2 linked regions of the Elephas maximus indicus genome follow. The protein of the gene in region 1 purifies or fractionates together with the protein of each later gene. This does not show direct contact. Links are inferred from orthologs where the notes say so. Each region holds a gene or a part of one and is shown on either strand. Other genes may lie near its edges.

Region 1 (16,761 bases):
ACCAGCCACATCCTGGGCTCTAACCTACCACCCCAATGGCATGTTTTCCAGAGCCTGGTGTGGAAGCAGGAAGGCAGGTTTCTTGACATCAGGATGTTTTGAAATTCCAGGCTCTCTTTATTTTCCAGGGATCAAGCCCTCCATCTGGGCAGTGCCAGATACTGTGGTTCCCCAGCACAGTTCTGTGACCATCCTCTGTAGCGGACCTACAGGAATGACTTATATGCGTCTGCAAAGAGTAGAATCCCAAGAGTGGGATGAAAAACCCCCAACCGGAGCCCAGGAGGTGGTCAATTTCTCCTTCCAGAAGGTGACACAATTTCATGCAAGGACTTATTACTGTAGTTACATGAAGGAAGGAACCTGGTCAAGACAAAGTGACCCACTAAAGCTGGTGGTGACAGGTAAGGGCCACCCCAAGGGCAGTGTCCCCTAGCCTTGGTATCTGTTCCCTAGCACACTGTGCCTGCTTATTACTGACCCCTGCCTGCTGTCTCTGCCCAATCTCCTCATCTATGTTGGTCCCATTATCCCTTTGTGCTGACTGTGGTCCAATCTCCATTCAGAGAGGAGGCTAGAATCCCTAAGGAACTACATTTCATGTGGGACAGATATTCAGCTCCCTTTCTGGACATAAGACTACTCTCTTGTCCTGGGTTATTGGAAAATAAGAAAAGTGGTTTTTTTTGGTCCTTGTGATCCCTGTACAGCAATAAAGTGTGAATGGGTGAATTTCACCCTGGCTCCATCATGTCTTCTCTCAGGTCAGACCATGAGAATGGTGGAGTAGGATGTGGCTCCCTAGCAATAACATGTTCCATTCTCTTCCAGGAGCCCTGGTGGGGTAGTTGTTAAGAGCTCAGCTGCTAACCAAAAGGTCAGCAGTTCAAATTCACCAGCTGCTCCTTGGAAACCCAATGGGGGCAGTTCTACTCTGACCTATAGCTTCACTATGAGTCAGAAATGACTCGATGGCAAAGGATTTTTTTGAGTTTTATTCTCTTCCAGGAGTCTTCAAGGGCATACCCTATCTGACTGCTCATCCAGGCCCCCGTGTGACCCTAGGAGGGAATGTGACCCTCCTTTGTCACTCAGATCATCACTATGACAGCCTCCATCTGTACAAAGATGGAAGAAAAGCCTTGGGCTATTTCCATCAGGACCGTAACACCTTCCTCATCTCCCCTGTGACTCTGACCAATGAAGGGATCTACACATGCTATGGTTCTTCTAGACAAAACCCTCTCCTCTGGTCACTGCCCAGCAAACCCCTTGACCTTGTGGTCACAGGTAAGTGCAGATCTGTCACTTTTGCTCTGTGCTCAAGAAGTCCCATAAAGTTTTTAAAGTGGTATCTTAGTTATCTAGTGCTGCTATAACAGAAATACCACAAATGGATGGTTTGAATAAACAGAAATTTATTTTCTCACAGTTTAGGAAGCTAGAAGTCCAAATTCAGAGCGCCTGCTCTAGGGGAAGGTTTTCTTTTTCTGTAGGTCCTTGTCTCTTTAGCTTCTGCTTCCTGCTTCCGTGGAGGTCTCCATGTGTCTTGGTATCTCTTTCCCCATCTCTGCTCACTCTCTTGCTTATCTAATCTCTTCTATATCTCAAAAGAGATTAACTCAACACACACCTTATACTAATCCTGTCTCATTAACATAATAAAGACAACCCATTCCCATATGGGAGTATAACCTCAGGCATAGAGGTTAGGATTTACAACACATATTTTGGGAGGACATAATTCAATCCATAACAACAGGTGGAGAATTTCAATTCTACTGTCTGTTTTTGTTGATTGTGATCTGCATAAGATGCCCCTTCTAAGGTCCCTTCATTTAATTTATAGGCCCTGAGGATTTATATATTTGTTATGACAATTTTTTGGCAGTTGTAAGTAAATTGTTTTGGGAATGTCTTTTACCCATCCATATGAAAAACCAAAAAACTAAACCCATTGGCATCCAGTCTATTCTGACTCATAGTGACCCTATAGGACAGAGTAGGACTGCTTCATAGGGTTTCCAAGGAGCGCTTGATGGATTTGAACTGCTGACCTTTTGGTTAGCAGCTGAACTCTTAGCCACTATGCCACCAGGGTTTCCATCCATATGAAAGTGCTATATAAACTCGTTGCAGCCCTTGGGAATCAGACTGGGGTGTAGGTCTACCACTTAGTGTGTGGGTGTGTCATCATCCTTAACACCCTCCTCAGGCAGGTCCATCTCTATATAAGAGGTTGACAACAAGTGCTGTCACTAACTAGAAGTGATAAAAAGTGAAAAGGGGGACCATGCTAGTTTCTTCATTCAAGATACTAAGACAATGGAGAAAGCAGTAAGACATTTATAGAACATCCAAGGTGAAATTATGGTTGAGGTCCCCCAAGGTTATGCTGGGAGGAGGCATTGCCAAGTTCTTTGTGGGTGGGTCTGTTGAGTTCTAGAAGACATAGCTTTCCTAGTTAGCTGCATCTTGTCAGGGGTTCAAGGGAGGATACTGTATCCAGGCACAGAAAAATGTGGAACAGAAGCACAGAGCTGTGAGGCAAGCCTGTCTGATGTTTTCTGGGAATTATAGGTAATTACTTTGTGGGAGAATGTAGGAGCTAGGGCTGGAAAGATGGCAACAAGGAGGCAGGAGCTTGAAAAGGAAATGACAGGGATAGAGTGGAGAAGGTGATGGCACATAAGTGGACAAGTTTGTGTATTTGTATGATCAGCTGACAGGCAGCAACACTAGGTAGACTAAAGATGATCTGTTTCAGTTGTCCAGTATCTGCTGATGGTTCCTAAATTTAGAATCACCATAAACAAATACTTCCATGAGTTTCAGAGTTATATGTCCACTTAGACACCCGATAAGCGTCTCAAATAAGCTCTTGCTTGACAAATCTCTAAACCTCTCATACAGGTCGCCTCATCTCAGTAGATGCCATCTCCATCATCCCAATGATCAAGCCAGGTCCCTGAGAATAATCATTTAAGCTCCTCTTTTGCTCTCAATTCCCACATACTCTACCACCAATTCTCAAATCTCATTATTTCCATGCTGAAAAGAAATTTCAAACCCAATCCCTTCTCTCCTCCATCAACATCACATTGTTATACCATGATCACTTGTCACCTAGCTGCCTGTAACAGGTTCCCTGTCTCTCTACTTTCCATCTTGCCTACTAAATTAATTTACCTAGCAGTAACTGCAGTGATTTTTTTTTTCCTCCCAAAACACATAGCTCGTTGCTTGCCAATTCCTTCAGGGTCATAATTGCACATAGAATAAAACCGGACTCTTCTCTACAGCTTCTAAAATTCTTCAGGCTCTGACTCTTGCTGACCTCTTAGATCTCTACATGTAAGGATACGTTTACATATTGGATTACGTCCCTAGACTCTGTTGTTGGGTAGGTTCACTAGTGTCCCAAACATCCAATAACTTGCCTGGTATATGGTAGGTGCTCAATCAATGTTTATTGAATGAATACAACAGGTGCTTAATAACAGATATTTACCATTTTGTAATTCCTAGATCCATATGGTCTTGAGCAAGGATACAGTCACGTTGTGATTGGGGTCTCGGCTGCCGTTGTCTTTATTTTCCTCTTCCTCCTCCTCTTTCTTCTTTGCCGTTGGTATCATGCCAAACACAGTATGTCCTGGAGATGGAAGGGTTAACCTGGGAGAAGTGGGAGGTGGGCTTGGTGGATTCCTCCCAGGACTCTGATCACTAATTCTCTGTAGGAGCTATTGATGGTGAGACCAAGAACCAAGTCAAGTATAACAGGTAGGAAAAGTTGGACTTCTCCAATAATAAAACCTGCTTCTGTCTTATTTCTCAGACCCCCTCTAATGTTCCTGTCTCCTTTCCCTCAGCTCCAGCCCATCTCTGGATGTCCAGGAAGAAAATCAATGTAAGGGGGAGAAAGGGGACCTGGGGTGAGGAAATGAGGTGGCGGGGGAGCCTGGAAGCATTCAGGAAGAGGGCAGAGAAAGTGGGGTTGCCACCTTGCTGTATGATGTCCCTGCCCTTGTCTGGATTTTAGTCACACCATCTCTGAAATATGGCTGGGAGCACTAAATGTTTCTGAAGGCCCTCAAAGAAGGTCCAACTCCTTATTTTCCTTTCAGATGCTACCATTAAGGACATCCAACCTGAGGAGTATGAACAGATGGATACGCAGGTAAGTATTTCCTTACCTATATCCTCTCCTTCCTTAGTCTTCTCCCCTAGTGCTCTCTTTCACGTCGTATCTCCATGCTGACAGGTCCGCAAAGCAGAAGACCCCAAAGAAGTGACATATGCTGTGTTGCAACAGGAAAACCTTATGAGGAGTGTGGATGTCCCGTCCTCCTGCACCCTCAGGGATGCCTCTCAACAGCCCTGTGTGTATGCCACCCTCACCTTGCCCTGAGCCCAGAGCTGGGACTGGCTATGTGGATGCTAGGGTTCAAATGCCCTTTAAGCTCCACGTGGCATACTACTCATATTCCCTCAACACTAGCCATCAACTTGGAGCTTCCAAAGAAGAAAGTACAAAGAAGCCATGTCAATCGTTAAGAGATTCTGGAACCCGTCAAATATTTTTCATATGATTCCAGATTCTTCACTTGCTTGCTTGTTCAGCAAATGTTTACAGAAGCCAGCTCTTTCCTTGGACCGTTGCTGGTGCTATCCAGATTAGTAAGACACAGTTTCTAGTATCAGAGAGCTCAAAGTCTACTGAGAGAGGAAAGCTACATGATCTGGCCCTTACAAAGCAATGCAGGAGTGACCTGCAGGAGCAGGTAGAGGAATGCTTTGGGTTCTTTGAGTAGGGACAACTTTCCAGGCATATTTAAGAAGTATCATCTGCTCATGGAATACAGATTTTCTGGAGCCAAGGAGGCTGGATGAACCGAAGGAACTATTACCGTGAGATAATCTTTAAAACTTAAACCAAAAATATCCTCTGAAATCTTCTTAAAACCAAACAATACCTTAACTAGTAAAGAATGTATGCCTTGAGTGTTGTGGTTGAAGTTTTTATTGCATGGGTGGATATAATTTTCAAAAGTTAATGAAATGAACTCTCAATATCTGTGCATTATATTGTATGTAAATCATGCCCAAATAAAATATTGCTTTTAAATAAAAAAACTATATGGGATCAAATTGACAGCAGCAATTCAAAAGATTAGATGGGAGCCTTAGGGGGGCAGTGAGTCCATGTTAATGGAGAAAGAACAATTTGGAAAAGGAAGGTGAGAATGGTTGCACAACTTGAAGAATGTAATCAATATTGCTGAATTGTATTTGTAGAAGTTGTTGAGATGGTACATGTTCTGCTGTGTATATTCTCAACAATGACAACAAATAAAATAAACTATAAAAAAAAGAGGTGCCATCTGGCACCAGATACAAGAAGTCAAGAAGAAATAAGAGTCATATTGGTTGCTGTTGGTATTTTACTCCAAAGTTCTAGGACCTGCTGAGAGCTGAATCCTTCAGAAGAGTGAAGAGTGAAAGAGGAAGGGCTCTTCGTGAAGTCACTATATTGCAAAACAAAATGAAATTCTCTCTTTCCTTCCCTCACTTTCACATGCCCTTTCTCCCTCTACACACACACACACACACACACACGCACACACCATATAAAAAAGTTCAAACCAATCTGACAACAAGGAATTGCTCTTGGAGAGAGAGATGGTGCAGAGGGTATGTGAAGAGGAATTGATGATTTTCCTCCAGTTTTGATGATATTCTCTTCTTAATTGTGCAATTAAAATAAACAGAACATAATGAAAAAGAGATGTGTATGAGAGAAGAACTGGAGTACATATGAAAAATAACTCTTTCAATAAGTTTTGATGAAAGAAATTGGAGAAGAAAGCTAATGTTAGAACAGGGAGAAGTAGTTTTGGCAGGGAAGGGGTAGATTTTTTTTTATGCATGTGTGTTGGTTGATAGAAATAAATGAGGTGGGATAGTAATGTAGTTAATACTGGGGAGGGAAAGATGATTGACACTTGGTGGAATGGCATATTAGATAAGAGTTCAGGTTCTGCAATGAATGGGTTTAATCTGGGTTCAAATCCTTCTTCTGCCATCCACAAGTCCATGAATATGTACACAAGATAATATTGCATCTCAGCACCTTGCTCTTTTCCCTCAAGGCGCTTATCAAAATTTCTGTGTATTCGGCATTAACAGGCTACAAACCATAACCAACAACACACACGCTCCAAAAGATAAGCTAGATAACTGGGATCTTCTAAAAATTAAACACTTATGCTCATCGAAAGACTTCACCAAAAGAGTAAAAAGAGAACCTACAGACTGGGAAAAAAATTTTGGCTATTACAAATCAGACAAAGGTCTAATCTCTAAAATCTACAGAAAAGTCCAACACCTCTACAACTAAAATACAAATAATCCAGTTAAAAAATTGGGTAAAGGAAATGAACAGACACTTCACCAAAGAAGACATTCAGGTGGCTAATAGACACACGAGGAAATGCTCACAATAACTAGCCATTAGAGAAATGCGAATCAAAACCACAATGAGATACCATCTCACCCCGGCATTACTGGCACAAATCAAAAAACCAGAAAATAACAAATGTTAGAGAGGCTGTGGGGAGGTTGGAACTCTTATGCACTGTTGGTGGGAATGCAAAATGATACAAGCATTTTGGAAAACCGTATGGTGCTTCCTTAGAAAGCTAGAAATACCATATGATCCAGCAGTCCCACTCCTAGGAATATATCCTAGAGAAATAAGAGTCATCACACAAATAGACATATGCACACCCATGTTCATTGCAGCATTGTTCACAATACCAGAAACAGATGGAAACGACCTAGATGTCCATCAACAGATGAATGGATAATCAAACCGTGGTACATACACACATAGAGTGTTATGCAAAAATAAAGAACAATGATGCATCTTCGAAGCATCGCATAACCTGAATGAATCTGGAGGGATTATGCTGAGCGAAATAAGTCAATAAATAAGTCATAAAAGGACAAATATTATATGAGACCACTGCTGTAAAAACTTATGAAAAGCTTTACACACAAAAAGAAACATTTGATGGTTACGAGGTAGGGGAGGGGTGGGGATGGAAAAACACTAAACAGACAATAGATAATAGGTAACTTTGGTGAAGGGTAAGACGGCAGACAATACTGGGGAAGCCAGTACAACTTGCCCAAGGCAAGGTCATGGAAGCTCCATAAACACATCCAAGCTCCCTGAGGGACTGAATTTCTGCGCTGAGAGCTGCGGGGACCATGGTCTCAGGGAACATCTAGCTCAATTGGCGTAACACAGTTTATAAAGAACATGTTCTACATTCTACCTTGTTGAGTAGCATCTGGGGCCTTAAAAGCCTGTGAGTGGCCATCTAGGATACTCCACTCGTCTCACCCCTTTGGGAGCAAGGGAGAATAAAGAAAACTAAAGATACAAAGGGAAAGATTCATCCAAAGGACTAATGGACCACAACTACCATGGCCTCCACCAGACTGAGTCCAGTACAACTAGATGGTGCCTGGCTACCATCACTGACTGCTTTGACAGGGATAACAATAGAGGGTCCCGGACAGAGCTGGAGAAAAATGTAGAACAAAATTCTAACTCACAAAAAAAGACCAGACTTACTGGTCTGACAAAGACTAGAGAAATCCTGAGAGTATCGCTCCCAGACACTCTTTTAGCTCAGTAATGAAGTCACTCCTGAAGTTCACCCTTCAGCCAAAGATTAGCCCCATAAAACAAAACGAGACTAAAGGGCACACAAGCCCAGGGGCAAGGACAAGAAGGCAGGAGGGGACAGGAAAGCTGGTAATAGAGAACCCAAGGTCAAGAAGGGAGAGTGTTGACATGTTGTGGGATTGGCAACCAATGTCATAAAACAATATGTGTACTAAATGTATAACTAGAAGATAGTTTGTTCTGTAAACCTTCATCTAAAGTACAAAAAAAAAAAATTCCTTGTATTTTAATTCCTCATTTGTTAAATTGAATTTTGCTTAGGATAGAAGACTCACGAGGGCAGGGACCCTGTGTCTTTCTCACTGCTGCGTCTGGCACCATTCATTATCTCTTCAGTATTCTTCTTTGCCATTAGAGTGTGAATTAGCTTAGAGGAGCAACACTTTAAGTTTCTTCCGAGCCAATCAACAATCCCAGAATTTCTTGCAGCTAGGTATGGCCGTAAGGTTGGTTTTGGTGAGTTCTAAGTGGTCACCTGCTGGGTGAATTCTGGGAAAGATTTTGTATTCATAATAAAGGGGACAGATGTGGTTAGCATAAGCCTCTGCCCCATCTTCCTACTTTGAACATGGATACAATGCCTGGGTCTAGGCATCCAGCTTGTGATGTTGAGGAGAAAGCCAAGAGGATGACAGAGAACCCAACTCTGCCATCATTGGGCCACCACACCAATGCCTTCATTACATTCTATTTTGTGAGAAAAACAGAATGAATTGTCTAATAATTGTTACTATTTTTTCATTATATGCAGTTAAAAGCATTTGGAATTGATAATATGGCTAATGTCAAGGGCATTCCACAATATTTGAAAGGAAGTAGGTATTCAAATATGTTTGTTGAATTAGTCAGTGGCTTAGGGAGGGTGTGACAGTCAATTTTGTGTGTCAACTTTGCTAGGTTATGATTCTCAGTGGTTTGGCCAGATACTGGGCTGGTTGCTGTTCCGTAATGTAACATAATACAATGTAATGTGGTGTGGTGTGGTGTGGTGTGGTGTAATGTAATGCAACATAATGTAATCATCTTCCATGAGGTGATTTGATGTGACAAACCAGTCAGTTGAAAGGGGAGTTTCCTTGGCAGTGTGGCCTGCCTCTGGTATATAAATGGATATTCTGGCAGAGCTTGCTCTCTCTTTTTGAACCATGTACTCTTTGCATTGCCTGATTTATGGATTGTGGGATATAAGCCTGCAGAAATCTCTGGCCTGTCACCTGACCTATGGATTTTGGACCTGCCAGCCCCACAGTTGCATGAGCCAATCCCTTGAAGTAAATCTCTCTCTGTATACACACACACACACACACGCACATACATGTCTCACTGGTTTTGCTCCTCTAGAAGAACAGGTGATGTCAGGGAGTTTATGGAAATATCAGAACATGGGCAATGTCTCTCAATGAGAAATGAATGGTGTGACTCCAGGCTGGTGAAAGGAGTTAAGTGAGACTCCTTCGGGCTTGTGTGCGAGTCATTCTACCGAGGAAATGGTCCAGCTTGATTAGCCTGAACTAGGAAAAGCCAGGGCTGATGGAGGGGAGGGAGGAGCATATCCTTCATCTTCAACACATCCTGTCTCTGCTCTAGGCCCCCACCACCTCCTTCCCGGGGCCACAGAACTCAGGACGGGACTGAGGAACCATGTCTCCATTCCTGTCCGCCCTCTTCTGCCTTGGTGAGTCCTCAGGGTGGATCTGGGAGAAGCGGAGGGGATAGGCACAGGGCCACCAGATGAAGACTCCTAAAATTCCAGGACAAAAGGGGACCTATGAGAGCCCCTTCATTGGTTGGGTGGGAAAACTTGGATCCAGGGAGATTATGTGTTTTGTCTAAATTATATTAGTTTATTCATGGTTGAGTCAGGAAACGAACACAGGTCTCCTTGTTTGGGCTGCAATGTTATTCCATTATACCATGGTTGCTTTTATAGATATATATGTATGCATATGACTATGAGATCAGGGCTAGACTGTAGGTTTAATTTGCCAATGTTCCTTATAATAGCAAGGGAGCAAATAATAATCTGTCACAAGGAGGGATTGGATGTATTTTTTACTGCCTGATCTTTATCAGGCTTTGTGCCAGGTGTGTTGTAGACGTTGTTTATGTTTTCAGAAGAACTTTACTGCTGAAGGGATAGGGTTCCAGCAGGCTAAGCAGGAAGGAAGCAGTTGTGTCACTGGAGTTAATAGGGCAGACTCTAATTAATCGATCAATCAATTAATCAGTCAACACGAGCTTACTATGCATGGGCCAAGAAGCCTGGGTAGTGCAAGTGGTTTGTGATTGGCTGCTAACATAAAGGTTGGTGGTTCGAACCCACGGAGTGACTCCATGGAAGAAAGTCCTGGTGATCTGCTTCCATAGAGAATACAACCAAGAGAACCCTGTGGAGCAGCTGTACTCTGTCTGTGACACATACGGTTGTCATGAGTCAGAGTCAACTCGATGGCACGGGGTTTGGTTTTGGTGTTGGATGATGGGTCACGTATTCTTCTTTTTTTTTTTTTTTCTTAACAGATACTAATGCATTTAATCCCCATGACAGCCCTGTGAGGTAGGGTCTATTATCCCCATTTCACACATGAGGAAACTGAGGCCAAGAAGGGTAAAGTAAGTAACTTGTTCAAGGCCACACAGCTAGGGATTGGATTCAAACTAAGAAATTTTGGTACCAAATCCATGTTCTTTACCGCTAAAATATGCTGCCCATGTTTGAATTGAGCTCCTTCCAACTGCAGGATGTTGGACAAGATACTAATGCTTTCGGTGTTTTAATAGCTTGGTATAGAAAATGGTACTAATAATGGTACCTACCCAGTAGATACTATGAGTCAGAATCGACTCGACGGCACTGGCTTTGGGTGACCCAATAAATTATGACGAGGATTCAGAGTCCATATGCAGAAAGTGTTCAAAATGGCTCTTGGGTTATTTCCAGTCATGTTTTTTTTAGAGGGTTGCATGAGAATTGTTAGGTTTATAATAGAACGATAATAATCTTTATCTTCATGTGTGTGTGTCTCTGTGTGCAAAAATTAGGGTTACCACATATCCACAGAGGATTCAGTTAAATTTTAATTTCAGATAAACAACAAATAATTTTTTGTGTAAGTATATCCCAACTATTTCATGGGACATATTTATACTAAAAATTGTTGTTGTTTATCTGAAATAAAAATTAACTGGAAAGCTGGCATTTTTATTTGCAAAATTTGACAATTCTAGTAAGATTGAAATAGAAAATACTATCAACTCAGGAGAAAGGCAAAAAAGATGTCTTAGCTTCCACAATTTCGTGGAAAAGCTATTGAAAATTGTGGAAAGAATTAACAATAAGTTCAAGGAAAACTAAAAAAAAACCACAAAGGAAAACTATACAGATGGAAATAAACCAGGCATTCATCAATTAAAACAAAAAAACCACACTCGTTGCCGTCGAGTTGATTCTGACTCATACCAACTCTTCAGGAGAGAGCAGACAGTAAAACTCCATAGGGTTTCCAAGGAGTGGCTGGTGGATTTGAACTGCTGACCTTTTGGTTAGCAGCCAAACTCTTAACCAAGTGCCACCAGGGCTCCTATTGATTCCAGGGAAAACACATAGGAAAAATATATAAGCACAGCGTTATAATGCTCAGATGTGAACGATATTTGCATAGTCATAACAATGTAATCACAGAATATTGATTTAACAAAAAAAGTATAAAACAGTAGGAAACCTGTGAGTAACACACCCTGAGATATCTTGACTTATGATATAATGCAAGAGACCTCATCCTGGACAAAGCCCCCTTCTCAAAGAGGAAGTTTTTTTTTTGTTTAAATTGTGTTTTAATTGAAAGTTTACAATTCAAGTCAGTCTCTCATACAAAAAACTTATATACACCTTGCTATGTAACCCTGGAAACCCTGGTGACGTAGTGGTTAAGTGCTATGGCTGCTAACCAAAAGATCAGCAGTTCGAATCCACCAGGTGCTCCTTGGAAACTCTACGGGGCAGCTCTACTCTGTCCTATAGGGGCGCTATGAGTTGGAATCGACTCGATGGCAATGAGTTTTTTGGTTTATGTAACTTTTTTAGCTACTCTCCCCCTAATGTGATGGCACATTCCTCCTCTCTACCCTGTATTCCCCGTGTCCATTCAACCAGCTCCTGTCCCCCTCTGCCTTCTCATCTCACCTCCAGGCAGAAGCTGCCCACATAGTCTTACATGTCTACTTGAGCCAAGAAGTTCACTCCTCACCAGTATCATTTTCTGTCCTACAGTCCAGTCCAATCCCTGTCTGAAGAGTTGGCTTCGAGAATGGTTCCAGACTTGGGCTAATGGAGGGTCCGGGGTCGCTCCAATATCAGTCAGACCATTAAGTCTAGTCTTTTTATGAGAATTTGAGGTCTGCATCCCACTGTTCTCCTGCTCGATCAGGGATTCTCTGTTGTGTTCCCTGTCAGGGCAGTCATCAGTGGTAGCCGGGCACCATCTAATTCTTCCCATCTCAGGCTGATGGAGTCTCTAGTTCATGTGGCCCTTTCTGTCTCTTGGGCTCATATTTACCTACGTCTTTGGTGTTCTTCATTCTTCCTTGCTCCAGGTGGATTGAGACCAATTGATGGCATCTTAGATGGCCGCTTGCTAGCATTTAAGACCCCAGATGCCACTCACCAAAGTAGCATACAGAATGTTTTCTTAATATATTTTGTTATGCCAATTGACCTAGATGTCCTCTGAAACCGTAGTTCCCAGACCCCCGTCCCTGCTACTCTGGCCTTGGAAGCATTTGGTTGTATTCAGGAAACTTCTTAACTTTTGGTTTGGTCCAGTTGTGCTGACCTCACTTGTATTGTGTGCTGTCTTTCCCTTCACCTAAAATATTACTTGTCTACTATCTAATTAGTAGACAAATAGTATTACTTGTCTACTATCTAATCGGAAACCCTAACCAAAAGGTCGGCAATTCGAATCCACCAGGCGCTCCTTGGAAACTCAATGGGGCAGTTCTACTCTGTCCTATAGGGTCGCTATGAGTCGGAATTGACTCGATGGCACTGGGTGGGTTTTACTATCTAATTAGTGAATACCCCTCTCCCTCTGTCCTCATCCTCATAACCATCAAAGAATATTTTCTTCAATATATAATATAAACTTTTTCTTCAGTTCTTATAATAGTGGTCTCATACAATATTTGTCCTTTTGCAACTGATTAATTTCACTCAGCATAATGCCTTCCAGATTCCTCCATGTTATGAGATGTTTCACGGATGCATCATTGTTCTTAATTGTTGCATTGTATTTCATCACGTGAACATACCATAATTTATTTATCGATTCATCTGTTGATGGGCCCCTTCATTGCTTCCATCTTTTTGCTATTGTAAACAGTGCTGCAATGAACACGGATGTGTGCATATATCTATTTGTGTCGCGGCTCTTATTTCTCTAGGATATATTCCAAGCAATAGTATTGCTGGATCATATGGTAGTTCTATTTCTAGCTTTTTAATGAAGCACCAAATCAATTTCCAAAGTGGTACCATTTTACATTCCCACCAGCAGTGTATTAAGTGTTCCAGTCTCTCCACAACCTCTCCAACATTTATTATTTTGTGTTTTTTGGATTAATGCCAGCCTTGTTGGGGTGAGATGGTATCTCAAGGTAGTTTTGCTTTGCATTTCTCTAATGGCTAATGATCGTGAGCATTTCCTCACGTATCTGTCAGCTGCCCAAATTGTCTTTGTTGAAGTGCCTGTTCATATCCTTTGCCCATTTTTAAATTGGGTTATTTGCCTTTTTGTTGTTGAGTTTTTGCAGTATCATATAGATTTTAGAGATGAGATGCTGATCAGATTTGTCATAGACAAAAACTTTTTCTGAGTCTGTAGGTAATCTTTTTACTCTTTTGGTGAAGTCTTTAGATGAGCATAAGTGTTTGATTTTTAGGAGCTCCCAGTTATCTAATTTCCTTCTGGTGTTTGTGCATTGTTAGTAATGTTTTGTATACTGTTTATGCCATGTATTAGGGCTCCTAGTGTTGTCCCTATTTTTTCTTCCATGATCTTTATCATTTTAGATTTTATATTTAGGTCTTTGATCCATTTTCAGTTAGTTTTTGTGGATGGTGTTAGGTATGGGCCTTGTTTCATTTTTTTGCAGGTGGATATCCAGTTATGCCAGCACCATTTGTTAAACAGACTGTCTTTTCCCCATTTAACAGACTTTGGACCTTTGTCAAATATCAGCTGCTTGTATGTGGATGGATTTATGTCTGGATTCTCAATTCTGTTCCTTTGGGCTATGTATCTGTTGTTGTACCAATACCAGGCTGTTTTGACTACTGTGGCGGTGTAAGTTCTAAAAACAGGTAGTGTGAGGCCTCCCACTTTGTTCTTCTTTTTCAGTAATGCTTTACTTCTCTGGGGCCTCTCCCCTTTCCATATGAAGTTGGTGATTTGTTTCTTCATCTCATTAAAAAATGCCATTGGAATTTGGATCAGGATTGCATTGTATCTATAGATTGCTTTGGGTAGAATAGACATTTTCACAATGTTGAGTCTTCCTATCCATGAGCAAGGTATGTTTTTCCACTTATGTAGGTCTCTTTTGGTTTCTTGCAGTAGTGTCTTGTAGTTTTCTTTGTATAAGTCTTTTACATCTCTGGTAAGATTTATTCCTAAGTATTTTATCTTCATGTGGGCTATTGTAAATGGTATTTTTTTTAGTGATTTCCTTTTTGAAATTCTCTTTGTTGGTGTAGATGAATCCAACTGATTTTTGTATGTTTATCTTGTATCTTGATACTCTGCTGAAGTCTTCTATTAGTTTCAGTAGTTTTCTTGTGGGTTCTTTAGGGTTTTCTTTGTATAAGATCATGTCATCTGCAAATAGAGATACTTTTACTTCTTCCTTACCAATCTGGATGCCCTTTATTTATCTAACAAAATTGCTCTGACTGGAAACCCTGGTGGCATAGTGGTTAAGTGCTACAGCTGCTAATGAAAGGGTCGGCAGTTTAAATCTGCTAGGCGCTGCTTGGAAACTCTATCGGGCAGTACTACTCTGTCCTATAGGGTCGCTACGAGTTGGAATCGACTCGATGGCACTGGGTTTGGTTTTGATTTTTAATGGCTCTGACTAGGACCTCCAGCACATTGTTGAATAAGAGCAGTGATAAAGGGCATTCTTGTCTGGTTCCTGTTCTCAAGGGGAATGCTTTCAGACTCTCTCCATTTAGGATGATGTTGGCTGTTGGCTTTGTATTAAAAAAAAAAAAATTTTTTTTTTTAGATGCCCTTTATTATGTTAAGGCATTTCCCTTCTATTCGTATTTTGCTGAGAGTTTTTATCACAAATGCGTGTTGGGCTTTGTCAAAGGCTTCCTGCATCAATTGATAATATCATGCGGTTCTTGTCTTTTGTTTTATTTATATGATGGATTACATTGATTGTTTTTCTAATGTTAAACCATCCCTGCATAACTGGTATGAATCCCACTTGGTCATGGTGACTTATTTTTTTGATATGTTGTTGAATTCTATTGGCTACAATTTTGTTGAGAATTTTTGCATCTAAGTTCATGAGGGATATAGGTCGGTAATTTTCTTTTTTTGTGGTGTCTTTACCTGGTTTTGGTATCAGAGATATGCTGGCTTCATAGAATGATTTTGGGAGTGTTCCATCCTTTTCTATGCTATGAAGTATGTTTAGCAATAGTGGTGTTAACTCTTCTCTGGAAGTTTGGTAGAATTCTCCAGTAAAGGCATCAGGACCAGGGCTTTTTTTTTGTTGGGAGTTTTTAAATTACCTTTTCAATTTCTTCTTTTGTTATGGGTTTATTTAGTTGTTCTACCTCTGTGTTAGTTTAGGTAGGTAGTGTGTTTCTAGAAATTTTTCCGTTTCCTCTAGGTTTTCAAATTTGTTAGAGTACAATTTTTCATAGTAATCTGATATGATTCTTTTAATTTCAGTTGGGTCTGTTGTGATATCAGCCATTTCATTTCTTATTTGGGTTATTTACTTCTTCTCCTGTTTTTCTTTGGCCAGTGGTTTATCGATTTTGTTGATCTTTTCAAAGAACAAGCTTTTGGTCTTGTTAACTCTTTCAATTGTTTTTCTGTTCTTTATTTCATTTAATTCTGCTTTAATTTTCATTATTTGCTTTCTTCTGGTGCCCGAGGGTTTCTTTTGTTTTTCTCTTTCTATGTGTTGAAGTTGTAGAGATAGTTCTTTGATTTTGGCCCTTTCTTCTTTTTGGGTGTGTGCCTTTATTGCTATAAATTGACCTCTAAGCACTGCTTTAGCTGTGTCCCATAGGTTCTGGTAGGAAGTGTTTTCTTTCTCATTGCATTCTATGAATTTCTTGATTTCTTCTATAACTCAGTAGTTTTTGAGCAAGGTGTTGCTCAGTTTCCATGTGTTTGATTTCTTTTCCCTGCTTTTTCTGGTATCGATTTCTACTTTTATAGCTTTAGGGTCAGAGAAGATGCTTTGTAACATTTTGATGCTTTGGATCCTGTTAAGTCTTGCTTTGTGACCTAATTTTCAATGCTGTTAAAGTCTGTTTTGTGTATCTTGAAGCCCTCTCATTGGATACATAAATATTTTTTATGGTTATATCCTCCTGGTATACTGACCCTTTAATCATTATACAGTGTTCTTCCTTATCCTTTAGTGGTGGATTTAACTTTAAAGTCTATTTTGTCCCAAATTAATATTTCCACTTCTGCTCTTTTTTTGATTGTTGTTTGCATGACGTATTTCTTCCACCCTTTGAGTTTTACTTTGCTTGTGTCTTTAAGTCTAAGGTTTGTCTCTTGTAAGCAGCGTATGGGCAGATTGTGTTTTTATCCATTCTGCCACTCTTCAAAGAGGAAGTTATTGTTATTATTTTTTAAATTGTGCAGCAGAGTTAGGTCTGATAATTGACTTCCTGTGGTCATTGGGGGATTTTCTCAGTTCATTTATGATCAGTTGAGGGTAGATTTTGCTGTCTTTATTGGCGTAAT
Region 2 (16,217 bases), on another chromosome or scaffold:
GACCCGGCAGTGTTTCATTCTGTTGTATATTGGATCTCTGTAAGTTTGGGCATGCATATATCTGTTCGTGTAAAGGCTCCTATTTCTCTAAGATATATTCCAAGCAGGAAACGACAACCATCTTTTTATTTTTATTGTGTTTTAAGTGAAAGTTTACAAATCAAGTCAGTCTCTCATACAAAAATTTATATACACCTTGCTATATACTCCCAGCTGCTTTCCCCCTAATGAGACAGCACGCTCCTTCTCTCCACTCTGTATTCCTGTGTCCATTCAGCCAGCTTCTGTCCCCCAATGCATTCTCATCTCCCCTCCAGACAGGAGCTGCCCACATAGTTTCTCCTTGAGCCAAGAAGCACTCTCCTCACCAGTATCATTTCCTAGCTTATATTCCAGTCCAATCCCTGTATGAAGAGTTGGCTTTGGGAATGGTTCTGGTATTGGGCTAAGAGAAGGTCTGGGCACCATGGCCTACGGGGTCCTTCTAGTCTGAGTCAGACCATTAAGTGTGGTCTTTTTACTAGAATTTGAGGTCTGCATCCCACTGCTCTCCTACTCCATCAGTGATTCTCTGTTGTGTTCCCTGTTAGGGCAGTCATCAGTTGTAGCCGGGCACCGTCTAGTTCTTCTGGTCTCAGGCTGATGTAGTCTCTGATTTTTGTGGCCCTTTCTGTCTCTTGGGCTCATAATTACCTGTCTTTAGTATTCTTCATTCTCCTTTGCTCCAAGTGGGTTCAGACCAATTGTTGCATCCTCTCGATGGCACTAGTTTTTTTTTTTGTTGTTTTTTTTTAGACTCTCGAAAGTGGGATGCAGAATGTTTTCTTAATAGATTTTATTATGCCAATTGACTTAGAGGTCCCTGAAACCACGATCCCCAAACCCCCGCCTCTGCTACTCTGGCCTTTGAAGCATTCCGTTTATTCAGGAATATTCTTTGCTTTTGCTTTAGTCCAGTTGTGCTGACTCTCCTGCACTGTGTGTTGTCTTTCCCTTTACCGAAAATAGTTCTTATCTACTATCTAATTAGTGAATAGCCCTCTCCCTCCCTCTTCCCCCACTCTCATAACCATCAAAGAATATTTTCTTCTCTGTTTAAACTATTTCCTGAGATCTTATAATAATGGTCTCATGCAATGTTTGTCCTCTTGCTGCTGAGTAATTTCACTCAGCATAATACCTTTCAGACTACTCCATGTTATGAAATGTTTCACGGATTCATGATTGTTCTTTATGGATGTGTAGTATTCCATTGTGTGGATATATCATAATTTATTTACCCATTCATGCCTTGATAGGCACCTTGGTTGCTTCCATTTCTTTGCTATTGTAAACAATGCTGCAATGAACATGGGCATGCATATATCTGTTCACGTAAAGGCTCTTATTTCTCTAAGATGTATTCCAAGGAGTAGAATTGTTGGATCATATGATAGTTCTATTTCTAGCTTTTGAAGGCAGCGCCAAATTGATTTCCAAAGTTGTTGTACCATTTACATTCCCACCAGCAGTGTATAAGTGTTCCAGTCTCTCCACAACCTCTCCAACATTTATTATTTTGTGTTTTTTTGATGAATGCCAGCCTTGTTGGAGTGAGATGAAATCTCATTGCAGTTTTGATTTGCATTTCTCTAATGGGTAATGATCATGAGCATTTCCTCATGTATCTGTTAACTACTTGAATGTCTTCTTTAGTGAAGTGTCTGTTCATATCCTTTGCCCATTTTTAATTGGGTTATTTGACTTTTTGTTGAGTTTTTGCAATATCATTAGAGATAAGATGCTGAACAAAAATGTCGTAGCTAAAAACTTTTTCCCAGTCTGTAGGTAATCTTTTTACTGTTTTGGCGAAGTCTTTGGATGTTTGATTTTTAGGAGCTCCCAGTTATCTAGTTTCTCTTCTAGTATTTGTGCATTGTTAATAACGTTTTGTATACCAATTTGCTCGCAGCATTGTCCCTGTTTTTTCTTCCATGATCTTTATTATTTTAGATTTTATATTTAGTTCTTTGATCCATTTTGAGTTAGTTTTTGTGCATGGTGTGAGGCATGGGTTTTGTTTCATTTTTTTGCAAACGGATATACAGTTATGCCAGCACCATTTGTTAAAGAGACTGTCTTTTCCCCATTTAACAGACTTTGAGCCTTTGTCAAATATCAGCTGCTCATAGGTGGATGGATTTATGTACGGATTCTCAATTCTGTTCCATTCGTCTATGTGTCTGTTATTGTACCAGTACCAGGCTGTTTTGACTACTGTGGTAGTATAATAGGTTCTAAAATCAGGTAGTGTGAGGCCCCTCACTTTGTTCTTCTTTTTCAGTAATGCTTTACTTGTCTGGGGCCTCTTTCCCTTCCATGTGAACTTGGCGATTTGTTTCATCTGATTAAAAAATGTCATTGGAATTTGATCAGAATTGCATTGTATCTATAGGTCGCTTTTGGTAGAATAGACATTTTTACAATGTTGAGTCTCCCTATTCATAAGCAAGTTATATTTTTCCACTTACATAGGCCTATTTTGGTTTCTTGCAGTAGTGTCTTGTAATTTTCTTTGTATAGGTCTTTTATGTCTCTGGTAAGATTTATTCCAAAGTATATTATCTTCTTGGAGGCTACTGTAAATGGTATTGATTTGGTGGTTTCCTCTTCGATGTTCTTTTTGTTGGTGTAGACGAATCCAAGTGATTTTTGTATGTTTGTCTTGTATCTTGATACTCTGCTGAACTCTTCTATTAGTTTCAGTAGTTTTCTTGAGGATTCTTTAGGGTTTTCTGTGTGTAAGATCATGTCATCTGAAAATAGGACTATTTTTACTTCTTCCTTACCAATTTGGGTGCCCTCTATTTCTTTATCTGGAAACCCTGGTGGCATAGTGGTTAACTGCTACAGCTGCTAACTAAGAGGTCGGAAGTTTGAATCCACCAGGCGCTCCTTGGAAACTCTATGGTGCAGTTCTACTCTGTCCTGTAGGGTCGCTACGAGTTGGAATTGACTCGACAGCAGTGGATTTGGTTTTTTGGTGGGTTTATTTCTTTATCTAGCCTAATTGCTCCGGCTAGGACCTCCAGTTCAGTGTTGAATAAGAATGGTGATAAAGGGCATCCTTGTCTGGTTCCTGTTCTCAAGGGGAATGTTTTCAGAATCTCTCCATTTAGGACGATGTTGGCTGTTGGCTTTGTATAAATGCCCTTTATTGTGTTGAGGAATTTTCCTTCTATTCCTATCTTGCTGAGAATTTTTATCATGCATGGGACTTTGTCAAATGCCTTTACTGAATCAATTGATAAGATCATGTGTTTCTTGTCTTTTGTTGTATTTATATGATGGATTACATTAATTGTATTCCTAATGTTGAACCATCCCTGCATACCTGTGTGAATCCCACTTGGTCATGGCGAATTATTTTTTGATATGTTGTTGAAGTCTACTGGCTAGAATTTTGTTGAGGATTTTTACACCTATGTTCATGAGGAATATAGGTCTGTAATTTTCTTTTTTTGTGGTGTCATTACCTGGTTTTGGTATCAGGGATATGCTGGATTCATAGAATGCATTTGGGAGTATTCCATCCCTTTCTATGCTCTGAAATACCTTTAGTAGTAGTGGTGTTAATTCTTCTCTGAAAGTTTGGGAGAACTATCCAGTGAAGCTGTCCAGGCCAGGGCTTTTTTTTTTGGTGGGAGATATTGTTTTTTTCTGTCTTTTTTTAAAATAATTTTTATTGAGCTTTAAGTGAACGTTTACAAATCCAGTCAGTCTGTCACATATAAGCTTATATACACCTTACTCCATACTCCCATTTTCTCTCCCTCTAATGAGTCAGCCCTTCCAGTCTCTCCTTTTGTGACAATTTTGCCATTTTCTAACCCTCTCTACCCTCCTATCTCCCCTCCAGACAGGAGATGCCAACACAGTCTCAAGTGTCCACCTGATACAAGTAGCTCACTCTTCATTAGCTTCTCTCTCCTACCCATTGTCCAGTCCCTTCCATGTCTGATGAGTTGTCTTTGGGAATGGTTCCTGTCCTGGGCCAACAGCAGTTTTGGGGACCATGACCACCGGGATTCCTCTAGTCTCAGTCAGACCATTAAGTCTGGTCTTTTTATGAGAATTTGGGGTCTGCAGCCCACTGATCTCCTGCTCCGTTAGGGGTTCTCTGTTGTGCTCCCTGTCACGGCAGTCATCGGTTGTGGCTGGGCACCATCTAGTTCTTCTGGTCTCAGGATGATGTAAGTCTCTGGTTCATGTGGCCCTTTCTGTCTCTTGCGCTCTTAGTTGTCGTGTGACCTTGGTGTTCTTCATTCTCCTTTGATCCAGGTGGGTTGAGACCAATTGATGCATCTTAGATGGCCGCTTGTTAGCATTTAAGACCCCAGACGCCACATTTCAAAGTGGGAAGCAGAATGTTTTCATAATAGAATTATTTTGCCAATTGACTTAGAAGTCCCCTTAAGCCATAGTCCCCAAACCCCCGCCCTTGCTCCGCTGACCTTTGAAGCATTCATTTTATCCCGGAAACTTCTTTGCTTTTGGTGTAGTCCAGTTGAGCTGACCTTCCGTGTATTGAGTATTGTCCTTCTTGTTGGGAGATTTTTAATGAGCTTTTCAATCTCTTCTTTTGGCATGGGTTTATTTAGTTTTTCTACCTCTGTTTTGTGTTAGTTTAGGTAGGTAGTGTGTTTCTAGGAATTCATCCATTTCTTCTAGGTTTTCAAATTTGTTAGAGTACAATTTTTTGTAGTAATCCAATGTGATTCTTTTAATTTTAGTTGGGTCTGTTGTGATATCACCCATCTCATTTCTTATTCGGATTATTTGCTTCTTCTCCCGTTTTTCTTTTGTCAGTTTGTCCAAAGGTTTATCGATTTTGTTAATTTTTTCAAAGAACCACCTTTTGGTCTTAACTCTTTTAATTTTTTTTTCTATTTCATTTAATTCTCCTCTAATTTTTATTATTTGTTTTCTTCTGGTGCCTGTGGGTTTCTTTTGTTGCTCTCTTTCTATTTGTTCAAGTTGTAGAAATAAGTCTTTGATTTGGGCCCTTTCTTTTCACGTGTGTGCATTTATTGATGTAAACTGACCTCTGAGCACTGCTTTAGCTGTGTCCCAAAGGTTCTGATAGGAAGTGTTTTTATTCTCATTGGATTCTATGAATTTCTTTATTACATCCTTAATTTCTTCTCTAACCCAGTCATTTTTGAGCAGGGTATTGTTCAGTTTCCAAGTTTTTGTTTTCTTTTCCGTACTTTTTCTGTTATTGATTTCTACTTTATGGCTTTATGGTCAGAGAAGATGCTTTGTAATATTTTGATGGTTTGGTTTCTGTTAAGACTTGCTTTATGACCTAATATGTGGTCTATCCTAGAGAATGTTCCATGTGCACTGGAGAACAAAGTATACTGGCTGCTGTCGGGTGGAGCGTTCTATACATGTCTATGAGGTCAGGTTGGTTGATTGTGGCATTTAGATCTTTTGTGTCTTTATTGAGTTTCTTTCTGGATGGTCTCTCCTTCACTGAAAGTTGTGTGTTGAAGTCTCTTACTGTAGTTGCGGAGCTGTCTATCTCACTTTCCACTGCTGTTAGAGTTTTTTTATCTTGCAGCTCTATCACTGGGTGCAAAAATATTTAATATGGTTATATTCTTCTGGTAGATTGTCCCTTTAATCATTATATAATGTCCTTCCTTGTACTTTGTGGTGGATTTAATGTTAAAGTCTATTTCGTCAGAAATTAATATTGCCCCTCCTGGTCTTTTTTGATTGTTGTTTGCTTGATATGTATTTTTTCATTCTCTGAGTTTCAGTTTGTTTATGACTCTAAGTTTAAGGTGTATCTCTTGCAGGCAGCATATAGACAGATCATGTTTTTTTAAATCCATTCTTCCACTCTCTTTCTCTTTATTGGTGCATTAAGTCCATTTACATTCAGTGTAATTATTGATAGGTATGAGTTTTTAAAAAAACTTTTTTTTTAATGAGTTTAGTGCTGTCATTTTGATGTCTTTTTTTGTGTGTGTTGTTAACAGTTTCTTTTTCCCACTTAATTTTTTGTGCTGAATATTTATTTTCTTTTCCTCTTATTTGTTGTTGTTGATTTTGTTTTTGTTAAGTCTTTATTTTTTTCTTGTATTTTATTTTGATGTGTAGGTTTGTTAGTCTCCTTTGTGGTTACCTTAAAATTTACCCCTATTTTTCTAACTTTAAACCTAACTTTTCTTTCTTTATATCACCTGGACTTCCTCTCCATATGAAAGATCTATGACTATATTTCTTAAAAAAAAAATATTTCTTAGTCCTTCTTTATTGTTTGAATGTTGTCTTCTTTTACATAGTAACATTGCTGTTTCCCTGTTTTGAGTGTTTTTTAATCTTGATTTATTTTTGTGATTTCCCTATCTGAGTTGATATCTGGTTGCTCTGTCCTGTGTTCTAGTCTTGGGTTGATATTTGATATTACTGATTTTTTAACCAGAGAACTCCCTTTAGTATCTCTTGTAGTTTTGGTTTGGTTTTCACGAATTCTGTAAGCTTCTGTTTATCTGGAAATGTCCTAATTTTGCTTTTATATTTGAGAGACAGTTTTGTTGGATATATGATTCTTTGCTGGCAATTTTTTTCCTTCAGTGCTTTATATAAGTCAACCCATTACCTTCTTGCCTGCATGGTTTCTGCCGAGTAGTCCGAGCTTATTCTTATTGACTCTCTTTTGTAAATGGCTTTTTGTTTACCCCAGCCACTCTTAAATTCTCTCTTCATGTTTGGTTTTGGCAAGTTTGATTATAATATGCCTTGGTGACTTTCTTTCGAAATCTATCTTATGTGGAGTTTGATGAGCATCTTGGATAAATATCTTCTCATCTTTCATGATATCAGGGAAGTTTTCTGCCAACAAATCTTTAACAATTCTCTCTGTATTTCGTGTTATCCTTCCCTGTTGTGGTACTCCAATCACTCGTAGGTTATTTCTCTTGATAGAGTCCCACATGATTCATGGGATTTCTTCATTTTTTAAAAATTCTGTTATCTGATTTTTCTTTGAATGTATTGGTGCCAAGTGTTTTTTCTTCAGTCTTCTAATTCCTCAATTCTGTTCCTCTGACTTTCTATTGAGTTGTCTAATTTGTAAGTGTATTGTTAATCTTCTGAATTTCTGAATGCTGGTTCTCTGTGGATTCTTGCAGCTTATTAAAGTTTTCATTATGTTCTTGAATAACCTGCTTTATTTTTGTGTTCCTTGGCCTGTTCTCCATTTTTCCTGATCTAATTCCTGATGTCTTCAAGAGTTGTATATATTAATCTTTTGTATTCTGTATCTGGTAATTCCTGGAAGACACCTTCATTCACAAGATTCCTTGTTTTGAGAGCTTGTTGAAGTGATCTGGTCTACTTCTTTATGTGATTTGATATTGACTGTTGTCTGCAAGCCATCTATAAGTTATTGTATTAGTTTATGTTTGCTTAGCGTATCCTAGCTTCTTGCTTAGTTTTATTTTGATATGTCCTAACAGACTGCTTGAGTGAGCTAGCTTATTTTCACCTTTGAAGCTCTAGCGTCCTGTCACCAGATGGCTAGAGATGTTACCCGGTGTATGAATCTAGGAGTCCATTCCTTTTTCTTATATGGATTCAGCTCAGGTGTCCAGTAGTCGGTCATCAAGGGTGTAGTACGGGCTCTGTCCTAAAGTCTTAGAGGTGCAGGGGTGATTGATGTAGGTACAGATATCTGTTTGCATAGAGGGTCACATTCTGAACAAGGCACGGGGCTGACAACTGTTCCCTGGGTGTCTGTGAGGAAAGTGCATGCCTGTTCCTTAGAGTGCATGGTTGGGTGGGTTCTGCACTAGGACCATGGGTACCCAGCTTTTGGTTGTAAAGACTGGGAGGTACCTCTTATCCTTGGACCCCTTTTGTGGGTGGCTAGGTGATGTGGGTGTAACCACCAGTCCTTAGGCCACCAATGTGGGTAGGTGAGGACCCCATTTAATAGGCAAAGCAGTGTCAAACATCAAACACCCACCTCTCTGCCACACAGCTGAAGCAGTTGCAGTCTGACAACAAGGGCCTGTTCTTCTGAAATGGGCCCACACAGGTCCGTGCAGAGGTGAAAAGTATTCAAAGTCTGTGGAGCATTTGTGCCTGAACAAGAGCTGCTCCTGTCCTGAGCTTCCCAGCTTAGTGTAGCTGGCGGATTATCTTTTCCCCCATCTGCTAATTTATTCCTTCTCCAAGACTGGGAGAACGGATCAGAGTGCACAGCAGAACCTATCTCAGGCCCAGAGAAATCGACAGCCACTGAAGCCAGCTTGGGGGCTGGGAGGTGGAGGGGCGGGTGTGTGTGGTAAAATAAACACAAACACTTAGCTTTGCCAAAAGCACCCATTCTTCTCTGGTTCTGGAGGTGTGAGTAAGCTGTGTGGCTTGCTGTCTCTCCCTGAGGAAACCACGTCAGGAATGCTACTGCACCAGCTTGCCACGGTCGCTACAGGGAATGGTGCCTGAGGGTTCCCGGAGGTTCAGGTCTGGCAACCCTAGCAGCTTCTCAACTATGTCTCCTGCCCCCTGCCACTCAGTCTGTTTTCTAACTTTGCCTTTGATGTTCGGAGCTCCTAGCTTGCCATAATCATTTCACTTGTTTTGGGGGGGGGTCTTTGTGTCTTTGTTGTAAGAGGATCACTGTAAGCATCCGGCTACCCTGCCATCTTGGCCCTGCCTCAAAAACAATCCTTAAGGAAGCAGACTGCCGCATCTTTCTTCTGCAGAGCTGCTGGCAAGTCCAAACTGCTGAACTTTTGGTTAACAGCCGAGTGCTTAACCTCTGCTCCACCAGGGCTCCTTCTGAAGCCCACTAGGCCCTATGTAAGTGTTGGATATTATTAATGCAAAGAGCACATCTACTAACAGTGTGTAATTTATTTCCTTGTAGTTTTTACAATGTAGTGCAAAACTGGAATTCTAATGAATGGAGTCCTTAGAATAAGCGATCATTGATTGTGGATTTGTAAACGGCATTTACTGAGTTGGAGCCTGAGCTCAGAGAGGTAGTCATTATTACAGCAAACACTGAGGCACCTGATGTGTGTGGGAGGCTAGGGACGCTAAGAAGGAAACACTACCATCATCATATGCTAGACACAGTTTCAGCCCTTCACAGAAGGCTGGCTTATTCTCCCAATATGCCATTCGTGTCTGTTTTCCTGTGAGGAAATTGAGGATTTGAGGACCTGAGAAAATTTCCTGTCCGTTCAACTCTACAGCCCCCTTGCCCCCGCACTCCTCTCCTTCCCACCACTCCTTGGGCCCCCCAATCAATACCCTGAACATCACTGCCTACACCTTAAGGAGCTTGCTCTGTGTTGAGTTATTGACTCAGGGAGACTCTGAGCATCTACTCATTATATCTATTCCTCTCTAGAGAGAGCTCGCTCCCTCTGCTCCCAGCAGCACCCCATCTCCTAACATTTGGGGAAGTAGGTTGGAGGAAAGGAAGGAGACGATAGAAGTTTCGAGCATGTGCTTGGATTTTCAGAGAATCTCCTGGAAGATCCTTTGGTCCGTCTCTATAAGAGGATGTTGGACCTGAGGCTGCTCTTATCTCCCCTGCCACCCACGGGGACGCCAGGTTTCCTTTCTTTCAAAGCTCTGCGCGATGGCCACACCGAAGCCCCGAGCTATGGGCAGGGGCCAAACGGTCACTTCCCCGCCCTCTGGGCGCAGTATGCAAATCCGAGCACCAGGAAGTAGCTGGGAACTCCCGGCCGAGCCCAGCGACCGCCAGTTCCTCTCCGCCGCGCCGGCCCGCGCCGCAGCTAGCTCCCGGCCGTGGCGCCCCGGGCCAAACGCGCTGCAGCTCCCAGCCCGCGACAGCGGCGGCCCGCGCCCCTCGGCCCAGCCCGCGCCTTCGCCGCCGCCCCCACGCTGGCCGGATCCGACCGCCCCGTCGGGCCCCTTGCTTGGATCTGAAGTCACCGTGGAGCTCGGCCGCCGCCCCCCAACTTCCATCGCGAGCGGGTGAGTAGTGAGAGCGAGCGGGCCGGCCGCGGGCTGGGGGGCGCGCCGGGTCCCTGCTCCACCGACCCCGCCCTGGAAGACAGGGACGCCCTGGCGCCTTCAGCCCGAGGGTGAGCGGGCCTGAGAGCCGGGTCGCGGGGGCGGGCGGCTCTGCAGGTGTCTCGCGGCGGGCGGCGCAGGGGCGGGGTGGGAGGTGCGAGGCGTGCGGATGGACGCCCCCTGGTCGCTCCCTGAGTGCGGCGGGGAAGCCCCTTTGCGCGCTGAGCGGGCCCCCAGCAGGGATCCGGTGGCTCAGGGCCCTGGGGTCGTCCGAGGTGAGGGGTGGGGCCCTTCGCGCAGCTGCCCTTTCGGTGGCCCCGGGCAGAAACGTGACGTCGAGGGGCTGCCGCGGGGCCGGCGCGCACCCTCCCCGTGAGCCAGGCGCCTTGCGCCCCGCGGAGGAGCAGCCGGTGCCTGCGCGGAGAGGAAGCGAGAGTTATTTTAAGAATACTGGGGTTGCCTTTTTTTCGCCTTGGGGGCAGGGTGTAAGCGTCAGTTCCCACTTTCCGGCGGCGTTATCTTGGTGGACTGTCAGCGTCCATCAGTCGCCGCGTGGTCGTGTGTAGTGTGGTTCTCATTCTTTGCATATCCAGTGTGTGTGCCTGAAGTACCCCAAATCCACTCAACTTCTTTACCATCTCAGAAACCTGAGTCGGAATCCGAGGGTTGCAATTTCCTAGCTGTGTGTGAACTTGGGCCAATTATTGAAATCCCGTTCGTCGTTTTCCTCACCTGTTAGCCGTTTATTAAAAAAAAAAAAAAAAAAAAAAACCCTACTAAGGCATTCCCTAAGTGGTGTTATTATTATTTATTGCAAATAATTTTGTCCATCGAATTGAGGCTCCTTGGTTCTTTGCAATTTGATGGCTTTAAGCCCAAGACCACACGTCCAATTTACCCGTCCTTTTTATGCTGGGTCCTTGCTCTCTGAAAACTCAACTGTACTAGTAAACCTGCTTAATAAATACACGAGGGACTTGCTGTTCCAGCACAGAGACCGGGGGTCTGATTTATAAGAGCTAGCCAAAAAGGATTTTGAGTCGCTGCCTGTGGTCTGCCCTCAGCTGGCAGTAAGGTTAGGGAGGGCAGGGATGTTCTGTAGGGCCAGCACCTGAAGCAGTGATGCCTGGAATAGGCACTCAAACTCCTCACTCAGAAGTCCTTACTAAGGTAAGCTGTGCTGGGAAAGGGTGGCGTTCAGTTAGTGCCTCAGCTTTCATTTGCAGGTAAGGAGATAGGCATCTTGAGGCTTGAAGGATTTAACTTTATCACAAGCTTTGGGTGACTGGTCCCCTTGGATGTAGAGGACCATAACCCTCTTCTGAGTGCAGGGTAGAGGTTAGCCGATGTCAGAGAAGAGAAAACAAGAGCCAGGAAACTTCAGTTTTGGTCTCACCTGCCATTTGCTGAGCTGTGATTTGGGATGAAGTTAGTTGGGCTGTTTCTTCAGCCAACATTTGCTTCATAGCAGCAACCAAAGTTGCATCACAATTTGTTACATGTTTATAGTGTGCATTCACTAGGAAAGTGGAAGCTCCATGAGAGTGCAGCTTCGTCCGTCCAGCCCAAAATGCTAGACTGGGGGTCTGTGCATTCACTAGGAGAATGGAAGCTCCATGAGAGTGCAGCTTCGTCCATCCAGCCCAAAATGCTAGACCTGGGGTCTGCACATAGTACGTGCTTGAAAGGAGGAGGGAAGGGCCTGATCTGAGACAGTCACCTGCAAGGTTGAGATCAGATGGAGAGAAATGAACACTCTGGTTCCGAAGGCCCTGGAAGCTCACTGGTCCATTTATGTCCTTTGTCGACCCTGTCACGTGACCCGAGCATGTGTTAGAATCTCCACCCAGGGCTGGCCTCCCTTTGTATCACTGAGAGAGATCTTGATTTGATGTCTTAAGAAGATGCCTCCTATGTATACTTTACCACAATACAGAAAAGGGGAAGGGTGTGTTTCATTAAAAATAAATAAGCCTCCTGCAAAAGTAGGTTGCACAATCAAAAAAACCCACTTCCTTTTATAGTCATTGGTGTTCCAAAGGTGCATGGAGACTCTGGAAGATCCCTCTCCCCACCTCTTGCCTTCAGCGGTTTCTTTTTGGCAGGAAAGTGGTCCAACACAATTTTGTGAATCAGTAGCTTTCACAGCCCTTCAGTTCCATTTATGCATGTATTCAGAAATAAATCAAAAGGTTTGAGATTCCAGCTAGTTCAAGTTAATATATGGAACTATAACTTAAAAAAAAAAAATTAAAACATTACTCATAGATAAGCTTGTAATGGATTGAATTGTGTTCACCCAGAATATGTGTTAACTTTTTTTGGTTAGACCATGCGGGGTTGTCCTTCATTTTGTGATTTTCCTATGTGTTATAAATTATAATCTCTGCCTGTGGTTAAAAGGATTAAGGTGGGATTATAACACCACCCTTACTCAGGTCACCTTCCTGATCCAATGTAAAGGGAGTCTCCCTGGGGTGTGGCCTGCACCACCTTTTATTTCTCAAGAGATAAAAGGAAAGGAAAGCAAGCAAAGAGTTGGGGACCTCATACCACCAAGAAAGCAGTGCCAGGAGCAGAGCGCATCCTTTGGACATGGGATCCCTGTACCTGAGAATCTTCTTAACCAGGGGAAGATTGAGGACAAGGACCTTCCTCCAGAGCCGACAGAGAGAGAAAGCCTTCCCCTAGAGCCGACACCCTGAATTTGGACTTGTAACATACTAGACTGTGAGAAAATAAATTTCTCTTCATTAAAGCCATCCACTGTGTTTCTGTTATGGCAGCAGTAGATAACCAAGACAGAATTTGGTACCAGGAGTGGGGTGCTGCTCTAAGAGACACCTAAAATGTGGAAGTAGTTTTGAAACTGTGAATGGTTAGAGTTGTGACAGGGGCAGAGGACCAGTGCAGCAGAAAACCTGCAGTGGCAGAGAAGTGGCAACAGCAGAGAACCAGCAGCAGCAGAACCAAGAGACAAGTGCGAGACAGCACTGGAGGCAACCCACAGAGTGAGAGAGCTGAGTGCCTGTGTGCAGGAGGCTTCCTGGCAGAGTGGGGATCCTCTGGACACTTACTAGTGGAGCTAGGCTTGCCGACCCATGGAGCCAGAGAGCTGAATGCCTGTGTGCAGGAGGCTTCCTGGCCAAGTGGGGTGCCTTGGGCACTTACTGGTGGAGCTACTGAGCTTTGGAACACTTGCCCCAGCAGGGCAGATGTAGCTGAGGCCCAAGGAGCCACGAGGTCAAGAAATCAGGAAGCAGAAGCTGAAAAGACAACACAAGAAGCTGAGCTGCCTCAGTCTCAAAAGATATGGCCATGACCTCAGGAGCCATGGCCTCTGGTGTTTCTAAGTGTGGACTTGCCATTCAGATGGACTAGGAGAATGGTGTGCCTAAAGCCAAGGGAGCAGAGTTGCTGTCCCAGTGGGCCTGGAAGGAGGAGCTGAAGCCCAGGGCCGAGGGGCCTCCACTCAGAATCTGAAGAGTGTGGTCAATACCTACAGGCTGGGGGGCAGGGCTATTGTGTAAATTGTCTCAGAGAACAGAGGATTATTTTCAAAGCCTTGAGAGCTAATGTAATGTGTCCCGCTGACTTGCTTGGTGCCCGTTATCCCTCCTTTCCCTCCAGGTTCTCCCATTTGTAATGGAAATATCTAGCTTGTGCCTGTTCTGCCATTGTACATTTGGAAGCAGATAACTTGTATTCTAGATTTCACAGATGAGGAAGAATTTTTGGATTTTGGGCTTGTAATTAAGACATTTGCTATGATATGAGGGGATGAATATGCTTTGCATGTTGCCAGACAAGAGTTTTTGGGGGCCAAAGGGTGAAGTTTAATGGATTGAATTGTTTCTGCCCAAAATATGTGTTAACTTGGTTAGGCCCTGTGTAGTTGTCCTCCATTTTGTGATTTTCCTGTTTTATAAATCATAATCTCTGCCTGTGGTTAAAAGGATTAAGGTGGGATTGTAACACCACCCTTACTTAGGTCACCTCCCTGATCCAATGTAAAGGGAGTTTCCCTGGGGTGTGGCCTGCCACCTTTTATTTCTCAAGAGATGAAAGGGAAGCAAGCAAAGAGTTGGGGAACTCATACCACCAAGAAAGCAGTGCCAGGAGCAGAGTGCATCCTTTGGACATGGGGTCCCTGCCCCTGAGAAGCTCCTCAACCAGGGGAAGATTGAGGACAAGGACCTTCCTCCAGAGCCGACAGAGAGAGAAAGCCTTCCCCTGGAGCGGATACCCTGAATTTGGACTTGTAGCCTACTGGACTGTGAGAAAATAAATTTTTCTTTGTTAAAGCCATCCACTTTTGGCATTTCTGTTATGGCAGCACTAGATAACCAAGACAAAGCTCATGCTAATTTTAAATCTGTACAAATGGGAATGCAGTTTATACACGTCTTTAGCATGGAACATTGCTGCAGCTCGTTTGCACTGGTGGTCTCTGTGACCGCCAAGCACTCAGGCATGGATTAGTGTTAATATAGAAGGGTTACCAAAATCATTAGTAAAGACACTCGTCAATGACATGTTGATATTAAGTTTGATGGTGTCTCAACCTCCCTTTGCTTTTCCTAGTGATGATGATGCTAACACCTTCTGCTTTCTGGGGCTGTGAAGCATCCAAACTTTCATTTCACCTGAACCTATCATGGTCCATGTCTTAATAACCTAGTGCTGCTGTAACACAAATACTACAGGTGGGTGGCTTTAAAGAACAGAAATTCCTTTTCCCACAGTTCAAGAGGCTGGAAGTCCAAATTTGAGGCATGGCCTTAGGGGGAGACTCTCTGTTGGCTGTAGGGGAATGTGGTATAATGGATTGCTTTTCATCTGGCCTTTCTAGCCATGGTCTTGTAACTCCCACCCAGGCCATTGGGTGGGACTGTGTGATAGGGTAGTTGTGGCCCACCAAGGGGATTGGTCAGTTTTGCCATCCCGCTGGGCTTGAAATGAGCCACCCTAGAGGCGGGAAAGAGAGAATCCTAGTACCACCAAGGAAGAACATGCACGATCCAGCGTGTCCTTTAGACCTGGGATCCCTGTGCTGAGAAGCTCCTGGACCCAGGAGATAATGAGCTGTAAGCTCGAAGGTGATGAGAAGTGGTGGCAGGAGAGACCCAGCAGCAGGAGAAGGCTTGGTGGGCTTCCACAGAGAGAGAAAGCTGAGTGTCTTTGGGCAGAGACTGAGGCCCAGGGAGAGGCGTGCCTGTGAACATGACTGGGAAGAGGCTGTCCTGATGGAAGAACTGTATCCTGAGTGTTCTTGAGCCTGAATTATAACTGTTACTTCCCTAATAACCCCCACAATTGTGAGTATGATCTGTGAGTTCTGTGTGGCCATTGCAGTGAACTACTGAACCCAATAGGAAAGTAGAGAGTGCTGTGGGACGGACAGTTGGTGTTAGAATTGGTGAAGATGGCAGAGAGAGGAGGCATGTTTGACCTCTGCCTCACAGAAATCAGGCTTGGGCTGTTGATCTTGCTTCTCCTTCCCTCTTGTGGGGTAGGAGGAGGTCAGAACTGCTCCCTCTCCATTTTTACAGGGAAGATCCTTTTTTCTTTCAGCTGCTATAGCCCCCCTGCAGCCATGTTCCTTGGTGGCTTTCTCTCCCCTTGTGTGTATTTCTTTGTGTCTATTCTGGTCTTTTTATAACTCAGGAGTGATTAGATTTAGGACCCACTTTGGAAACCCTGGTTGCATAGTGGTTAAGAGCTATGGCTGCTAACTGAAAGGTGAGCAGTTCGATTCCACCAGGCGCTCCTTGGAAACCCTACGGGGCAGTTCTGCTCTGTCCTATAGGGTCACTGTAGGGTCGCTATGAGTCAAAATTGACTCAACCGCAATGGTATTTATTGTTCTTTTTTGGTTTACACTGGTATGACCACAACTGATTAATTGATCACATTGCATTAGATTGCATTATGGAAGGTAACCTGCTCTACCCAAGGCCAACTGATTGAATCACATGTAACTACACTTGGTTCTCTGCATCCATGGGTTCCAGATCCTTGGGTTCAATCAACTGTGGATTCAAAATATTTGAAAAAAATGTTGCTGATGGGTACTATGTAGTTAGGCCTACAATGGTTGAATCTGTACTGAACATGTACAAACTTTTTTTTCTTGTACTTATTCCCTAAACAATGTAGTAAAACTA

What was found.
Region 2: the proteins of GP6 (region 1) and LYN purify together in Homo sapiens (affinity purification with western blotting; 5 studies listed by BioGRID and IntAct, with this or other methods). This does not show direct contact. The link is inferred for Elephas maximus indicus from reciprocal best matches to the Homo sapiens genes GP6 and LYN.

The regions. Positions count from the first base shown.
Region 1 is NC_064829.1:92,074,498-92,091,258, forward strand, and holds the start of GP6 (platelet glycoprotein VI), read left to right. Parts: upstream 1-9,363; 5' UTR 9,364-9,400; coding exon 9,401-9,434; intron 9,435-16,761.
Region 2 is NC_064837.1:77,115,331-77,131,547, reverse strand, and holds the start of LYN (tyrosine-protein kinase Lyn), read left to right. Parts: upstream 1-9,928; 5' UTR 9,929-10,011; intron 10,012-16,217. UniProt on the Homo sapiens protein: Non-receptor tyrosine-protein kinase that transmits signals from cell surface receptors and plays an important role in the regulation of innate and adaptive immune responses, hematopoiesis, responses to growth factors and cytokines, integrin signaling, but also responses to DNA damage and genotoxic agents.